2 linked regions of the Oryctolagus cuniculus genome follow. The protein of the gene in region 1 purifies or fractionates together with the protein of each later gene. This does not show direct contact. Links are inferred from orthologs where the notes say so. Each region holds a gene or a part of one and is shown in the gene's direction. Other genes may lie near its edges.

Evidence for each region.
Region 2: the proteins of PSME4 (region 1) and PSMA7 purify together in Homo sapiens (affinity purification with mass spectrometry; 4 studies listed by BioGRID and IntAct, with this or other methods). This does not show direct contact. The link is inferred for Oryctolagus cuniculus from reciprocal best matches to the Homo sapiens genes PSME4 and PSMA7.

What each region holds. Positions count from the first base shown.
Region 1 is NC_091433.1:148,786,431-148,790,076, forward strand, and holds part of PSME4 (proteasome activator complex subunit 4), read left to right. Parts: intron 1-1,012; coding exon 1,013-1,105; intron 1,106-1,843; coding exon 1,844-2,109; intron 2,110-3,646. UniProt on the Homo sapiens protein: Associated component of the proteasome that specifically recognizes acetylated histones and promotes ATP- and ubiquitin-independent degradation of core histones during spermatogenesis and DNA damage response.
Region 2 is NC_091442.1:1,220,591-1,224,336, forward strand, and holds the start of PSMA7 (proteasome subunit alpha type-7), read left to right. Parts: upstream 1-1,296; 5' UTR 1,297-1,412; coding exon 1,413-1,508; intron 1,509-3,242; coding exon 3,243-3,369; intron 3,370-3,746. Other genes in the region: SS18L1 (calcium-responsive transactivator), read right to left, coding at 883-951.

The sequences.
Region 1 (3,646 bases):
AATAAAAGCAAAAAACATGTGGATGTTTGCTCTGTTACATAAGCAGTGAATTGAAACTTGTGTTTTGGAGACCACAAGATTAGATGTTTAGTTTCAGCCTTGATTGAGTGAATTTTGCTGTGCTTTCTCACACAGTTCTCATTGTGAACTTTATTTAATGTTAAATTTGAAAAATTTTTTAAAAAATATCAGTGTTGCCAATTACAGTGTCAAAAATTTGAAAGTTGTATGAGTTAATTTGTTGTGGAATTAGGAGCTCTTTGAGTGGTTGCCCAGTTCTAGGGACTAGATTGGGAAACATGAACATGCATTTCATTTCAACAGGAAGGCATATTTCTCTTGTAGGCTGACATTTTATTTTACATCTGTGCTGTTTCTTGACAGATGATCATGAGACAGGAGGTTTTAGAGACCAAGTCGTGTTGTATCCTGGGACTAATCAACTTGATAGGATGAAAACTTGCTTTTTCTCCCAGATTGTGCTGTTGTTTGTTTTGTTTGTTTTTGTTTGGTTATTTTAATAGAATATGTTTTGTCAGTAGATCAAGAAAAAATCTGTCAAGTCATAATGTGGCCACATTAGTTTGATAGTGTTAAACATTTAGAGGTTATTATAAAATACTAGAGTACATTTGTGTGAGTGTGAGTATTCTGTTTCATGTAATGAGAAATTCACTTATTGAGCCATTTAAGAACTACTTTTAATTTGTTGTTACCATTGTTGCTTAATGATAAATTTTACTAAGTAACTTGACCATAAAATATGCTAAGTGCAAAGATACCTTTTAAAATTTTCTAATTTGGTTTAAGTAAGTTGCTCTTATTTTTAGTAAAATGTTTTAAATTGACTTGCATGTGGTTCATCTGGGAATTGTTGTAGAGTCTTTTTCAGAGAATAAGAGGACGAATGTGTACTGTTTTACAGAGATTTATGTACAAGCTTGACCCTGTTGTTCCTTTCAGTTTTACAATATAATATGGCTACTGACATTTTTACTCTTTTTCTGGACAGGGTGGACCAAGTAAGCTAGTGCAAAAACACTTAGCTGGTTTGTTTAACAGCATCACATCTTTTTACCATCCTTCAAATAATGGGCGTTGGCTGGTGAGTATGTTTATTTTTGTACTGTAGTACTTGAAGATTTTCAAGATACAGCCATACGTATAAATTGTCTATTCTATGACTTGTAAAAGCATTTTGTTTGCTTCATGTGAAAATATAAACTTTGGCTGGAAGGGGTACTTCAAAAAGTTTGTGGAAAATGGAATTAAAAGATGGGCATATTTTGGTGTAAAAATCCAATACATAAATTTTTTTCTTCCAAAAGTTCATAGATAATGCATATTATGAGAACTATGATTTTTCTGCAGTAAAATAAACTTATCTTTTGATTCTTTCCACATTTTAAACTATGTTCTGTATTAAGTGATTCAGTTCACATTCATTTACTGTTTCATAGAATGTATGGAGATAAATTATGACAATATTGATGTGGTAATTAGTGACAGAATGTAACATTTTGGCAACAAAATAGCAAAAATGCCACAAAATCATAGAATCATCTTTTCAATATTAACTTACCAGCAATGTTTTGTGGTTTTGCTTTATTTAAGTAGCCTGGTTAAAATGGCTTTTCATAAAATGGAAAATTTAAGAGGTGCTAGAAGAAGTTCTTTTAGAACTGGAACTTCCAACTCAATAGTTAACTTTCAGTAATTCCTTGGTAAAAGTATGTTTATTCTATCTAAGTGTATCATGTAGATTTAATAAGAGGTGTTCGTTTAAAATCCTTTCTCTTAGAGAAAGGAAACTAGCTAGAGCCTTTTGCTTCTGTGTTCCCAGAACAAGTTAATGAAACTACTTCAGCGGTTGCCAAACAGTGTTGTTAGAAGATTGCATCGTGAAAGATACAAGAAGCCCTCTTGGTTGACTCCTGTGCCTGATAGCCATAAGCTCACTGATCAAGATGTTACAGACTTTGTACAATGCATTATTCAGCCTGTCCTCTTGGCTATGTTTAGCAAAACTGGTAGTCTAGAAGCAGCCCAGGCTTTGCAGAATCTTGCACTCATGAGACCTGAGTTAGTAATACCCCCTGTACTTGAAAGGTAAGTGTAGTTTTGCATGTTTTTATTGAAGCCCCTTCATAGTTAGATTATTCTTGATATCTGTTCCTTTTCCTGGCCTCTTCTACTTGGTTGCTTGTCTTTTCGTTATGGCTTCTGTTTTTGTTTCACCATGCTTATTTCTGTTCATAGAGGAGAAATTCATTGATCAGCTTTGAGAACATAGCATTGACTCAGTGATACAGAAGAAAAGTTCATTACCTATTATTTTCCTGAATTATGTAATTTTAAGTATATTTTTTACAGTGTGAATTTCATTGCATTTGTTTAGTTTTGTATATTGAGACAAATAAAAATAGACCTCTACTTGCCAATCATTATCACAGTATAGTCTTATGCTTCTTGAGAGAGAGCTTTCAATTTAAAAAAAAAAATTGAGAGGCAGGCACACACACACACACACATATCATATCTGCTAGTATACTTCTCAAAAGTACACATTGGCTTCTGGCTGGGACAGAAGCTAAGAGCCAGGAACTCAATTCAGATCTCCTCTGTGGATGTCAGGAATCCAGTTTTTTTGAGCCATCACCACTGCCTCCCAGGGTCTGCATTAGCAGGAAGCTGGAATCAGCAGAAACCAGCAACCTAGCCCACACAATCTGCTGTAGGACATGGGCATCTTAATTCCTGCCGTTCAGTTTTTGAGCATTCAAGAGCAAACTACTTAAGCTTTCTGTTAGACCTCTGTTACCCAAACTTGAGCCTATGACTTCTCTCAAAATGCCTTTGTCAAAAGTAGAGGAAGGATGTTGATTTATAGAGCTCATAAGGATCTAACAATTGAGTTCCATAACAGTTTGTCCAGGGTTCCTAGTAGAAGAATTCAAATAACATATTTTCTAATCACTGTTGAAACAGGGTAAGTATTGATCCCATTTACTTGAGATAGGTTACCTTGTTAAAGATCTTGACCCAAGTGGGTCTCCATTATCTATAAATTTCACTTGTTCTGTCTCACTGTGTCTGTCTTGACATAAATATTTAAGTTAGATTGTACCTCACTTTCTCAACCTCTGTTTTTTATGTGTGCATATTATGGCACTAAAACTCTTCCAGCGTGTACAGTTTACTTAAAAAATGGATCATGGGAGGTAGGCAGTTTCTTCTGTTTTCAGCCCTCGGTAATCTTTGCTGCTTGGCTTCCTTCGGATGGCAGAAGCTAGCAGTCAGTGGTAGCTTCCTTGATCCTCCCTGGGAGGGAGGACCTTCTCCTGTCTTCATAGCTGTTTTGCCTGTTTCTGTGTTTTTCTGCTGATCATGAATAATGAGGTACATTTTTAGTCGAAAAAACTTCAACTAACATTAACTTAGGTTTGAATGTTTTTCATCCTAGTTATAAATCCTCCTTTTTCCCCCATCTGAAATATAATGCACTTTCCTTTATTGCTTACCTTTGCTGTGTAAGAATAATTTGAAATGACTGTATTCTAGACTTAAGATTCTCAGAAGTAAAATTACTAAGAGTGGATTGGCTCTTAAATAATGAACAGTCAAATCTTCCCCCTGGTTTATTTAC
Region 2 (3,746 bases), on another chromosome or scaffold:
CGCAGCTCCGGCCGTTTCGGCCATCTGGGGACTGAACCAGCGGATGGAAGACCTCTCCCTACCTCTCCAACTCTGTGTGTCAAATAAATCTCAAAGAGAAAGCGCACATTAAAAGATTCGCAAGGCTCTCAAACAGCACCTGCGACTCCACACCCTCGGAGGCTCCCGTCCGTCACCATCCCCGGCTCGGCGCTGCCCAAGGCCCCCCACTCGTGACAATCCCGTGGCGACAAGATCGGTCTCCATCTTGGTGACAGCCCGAGGACCACGTCCCCAGAGGCGGGCGCACCCCTCCCGGCGAACCCACAGAGTCCAGCAGAGGAACACACGCAGCCGCGCGAGGCGCCGGGCGCGTGCAGAGGGGCGCGGCGAACGCCAGCTTCCTTCCTTATCTGTCGGGCGGGGAAGCCGAGAACGGAACGTGCCCGCTCCCCCGCACCCGCGCGGCCCGACTCACGCCGAGGCGCGGGGCTGCACAGCACAGCCGGGTTCCCGGGCGCGGGGCACCCGCGTGCGCTGCGGGGCGCCCAAGCCCGCGCCGCGTCCTTTGTGCCCTGGGGGCTCGCGCCTCGCCGAGGGGCGTCCCCGAGGCCGGCCCGCACTCCCTCGCGCGTGGCCAGCGGCGCTCGGGACCCGGACCCCCGACACGGGCGCCGCCGCCGCCCTCTCCTCCCAGGCGGCCGACGCCACGCGCCCTCGCCCGCGCCCGCGGGTCTCCGCGCGCCTCCGGCAGAGTGGGCGTGGGCCCCCCGGGGAGCGCCGCTGCGGACGGCGGGCGCGGGGCCGCTCGGCTGCGCCCCGGCTTTGTTCGCGCCCCGCGCCCGCCGGCTGCCCGCGCCCCAGCCCGCGCGTGCCCGCGCCTCGCGCCCCGGCCCCACGCACCTTCTGAATGGTCTGCTGCGTGACCTCCCCTTTGCCCCTCGGCCGGGCGGACGCGAAGGCCACGGACATTGCGGCGACGCGGGGCTCAGCCCGTGACCATCAGGGCTTATTCCCCGGCTGCGCTCGGCCGCCCGAAGAGCTCATTCTCCGCAGTCGCCGGGGGGCGGGAGGCGCGGGGGACGCCGCGCCGTGGGCTCGCCCGCCCCGCCGCCCCGCGCGCGCCGCCGCGCCCGCCGCGCCGCCTCCCGCCGCCGCCGCCCCCTCCGAGGCCGCGCCTCGCGTGGCGCCCCCCGGCGGCCGGCCGGCGCCCCGCGCCCGCTCCGCCGCGCCCCGCGCCGCCCCCCCCGCCCCGCCGCCCGTGGTTAGGCCCGGCCCCGCCCCGCCCCGCCGCGCGCCCGCACGTCCGCCCGACGCCGTGACGTCACCGACGCGCAGCGTGGGCGCGGCGCAGGGCGCGCGCGCCGGCCGTGAGTGTGCGCTTTTGAGAGCGGCGGAGAGGGTGGCCCTGGGCCCGCGCCGCGGCCGCCGGCATGAGCTACGACCGCGCCATCACCGTCTTCTCGCCCGACGGCCACCTGTTCCAAGTGGAGTACGCGCAGGAGGCCGTTAAGAAGGGCTCGACCGCGGTGAGCCGCCGCGCCGGGGCCTGCGCGCGCTGGGGGCCCGGGCCAGGGGCGCCGCCGGGGGCCCGGGCGCGGCGGCGGGCGGCGGGCCTGGGCTCGGCCGGGGGCGCGGGCTGCGGACCGCTGCTCCCGGGACGGCGGCGCGGCGTCCCTTCGGCCGTGCGTGTGGCCAGCGGGCCGCTGGGAACCCGCGGGGCGCCGGCTCCGTGGCGCAGAGAAGGGAGCCGCAGCCCGGGCGGGGCCGATGGCGGCGCTGGGGCGCGCATGGCGTCGGAGGCCGCGGGTGAGGGGCCAGGCCAGTAGCCCGGGGTGCCTCTGGGTGCGTGCTTTCCGGTACGGGAGCGGGCCGTGCCCTGCACCTGCCGGCGGCGGGCCAGCCGGACGCACGGGGACTGTCCTGGCGGCTCCCGGAGTGATGCCAGGCCACTGCCTGCCCAGGTGGGCACGTTGAGCTCGGGGCTCAGGCGCCTGTCTCGTTCCCACCAGCAGCACCTGGGCGCACCTCGGGAGCGCGCGCGCATGTGGAGGAGGGGTGGTGTTTCTCACAGGAGGCTGGGGGGCCCCGGGCCAGGCCCCCGGGGGTGCGGTGCCTGGGCAGCGTCTGCCCCCTCGCAGACAGCGCCGTGGCGCGCGACGTTTTTGTCCCTTAGAATCCTAGACGTTCAGGGCCACGACGCGGATTCTGAGGTCGCCACTTCCTGGCTCGTGTGACCGCCTGCAATTAGGGTCCCAAGTCCAACTCTGACCTCCTCCCCACCCACGCTCGCTCGGGCGGACGCACAGCTGCGGCTCCCGGAGCGTCTGGCCGAGTCGGCACCCGGGACCTCCCTGGAAACCGGGCCAGTGCCCCTCGGCCCGCGGGCACTGCCGTGTGGAGCGAGACTGCTGCTGGCATGCCGTGGGCGGGGGCGGCTGCCCAGGTCGGCACTGGCCGGCGGGGCTGAAAGGCCCTGTGCTGGAGGGCGGGCACGCGCGGCGCCCACCGATTGCTGCGGTTGGTTTCTAGGCTGTTTGATTGACGTGTGGGATGGCCGATTCCTGAGGTTCCGGTGTGTGTGAGAGGCAGAGCCCCCACCCGCCGGCTGACTCCCCAGAGGCCCCTGACCGCCACCAGCCAGGAGCTTAGTCCGGGTCTCCCAGGAGGGGGGTGGGAGCTGCGCCCCGACTCTGATGGGGGCTCGGCGTCCCATGCCGAAGCGGCTCCCACGCCTGGTTAGGAGACGGGGAGGCCTTCATACTGCTCACGCCCCTTGGGCCCGCGACAGTGGGTGCCAGTCTAGGCCGGAGCCGGGACCCTGCGTGGGTCCATGGTCTGCAGCCTTGCCAGCCCAGCCCTCTGAGCAGGGGTGGGGAACCTGTCTCTGCCGGGCCGTTTGCGGTCGTACGGAATTGTCCACTTCATAATTAGCCTGCCGTGATTTATCGGATTTTGAATCCCACCCGTGGTTGCCTTGGCGGGCGGTGTCCGGCGACGGCTGACAGCAGGCGGCCCCTCCCTCGTGCCGGGAGGTGGCTTCACAGCTCGCCTGCGGCCGGCGCCCCTGTTCAGACTCCGGCCCACACGGCAGGTCCCTACCCGCAGTGCCGGGCCCGGGCTGTCGGGCTGTGAGCTGTGGGCTGCGCGGGTGAGCACAGCTCCGCGTGGCGGCTGCCGGCCACGCCCCAGGACCGTGTTGCCGTGTGCTCCTGGCGCCCCGCCTCCGCAGTTTCTCATGCGGGCCGTGGTTTTCATTGGAGGTTGGCGTCCGGGGGAGAGACATCGTCGTCCTTGGCGTGGAGAAGAAGTCGGTGGCCAAGCTGCAGGATGAAAGGACCGTGCGCAAGATCTGCGCGTTGGACGACAACGTCTGCATGGCGTTCGCAGGTGCGCGACCGGGGCCAGGGCCGCACTCAGGGTCCCGGTGGAACCTGGCTGTGCAGAGGGACGCGGGGCCCCGGGCTGTTGCCAGACGTCAGTGGATTCGGACTTCAGGAGTTAACTTGGGGGTTTTTCTGTCCCCCAAACACGAGCCCCGCCTGACCTGTGGCATGCAGAGGGCAGACAGGGCTGCCCGTGGCCAGCAGCAGTACACCTGCCCCGTGACGGGGAGGCACGCACTCGGCCCCTGCGCTCCCCCAGGGCGCGGGGCGGCTCCCTGACCTGGTTCTCAGAAGAGCCCCGGAGGCTGCTGGTCCCGCTCTGGCCGCTAAGGGCGAGGGGGGACCGTGCCCAGAGGTCAGGCTGCGGAGTAGCCAGGGTCA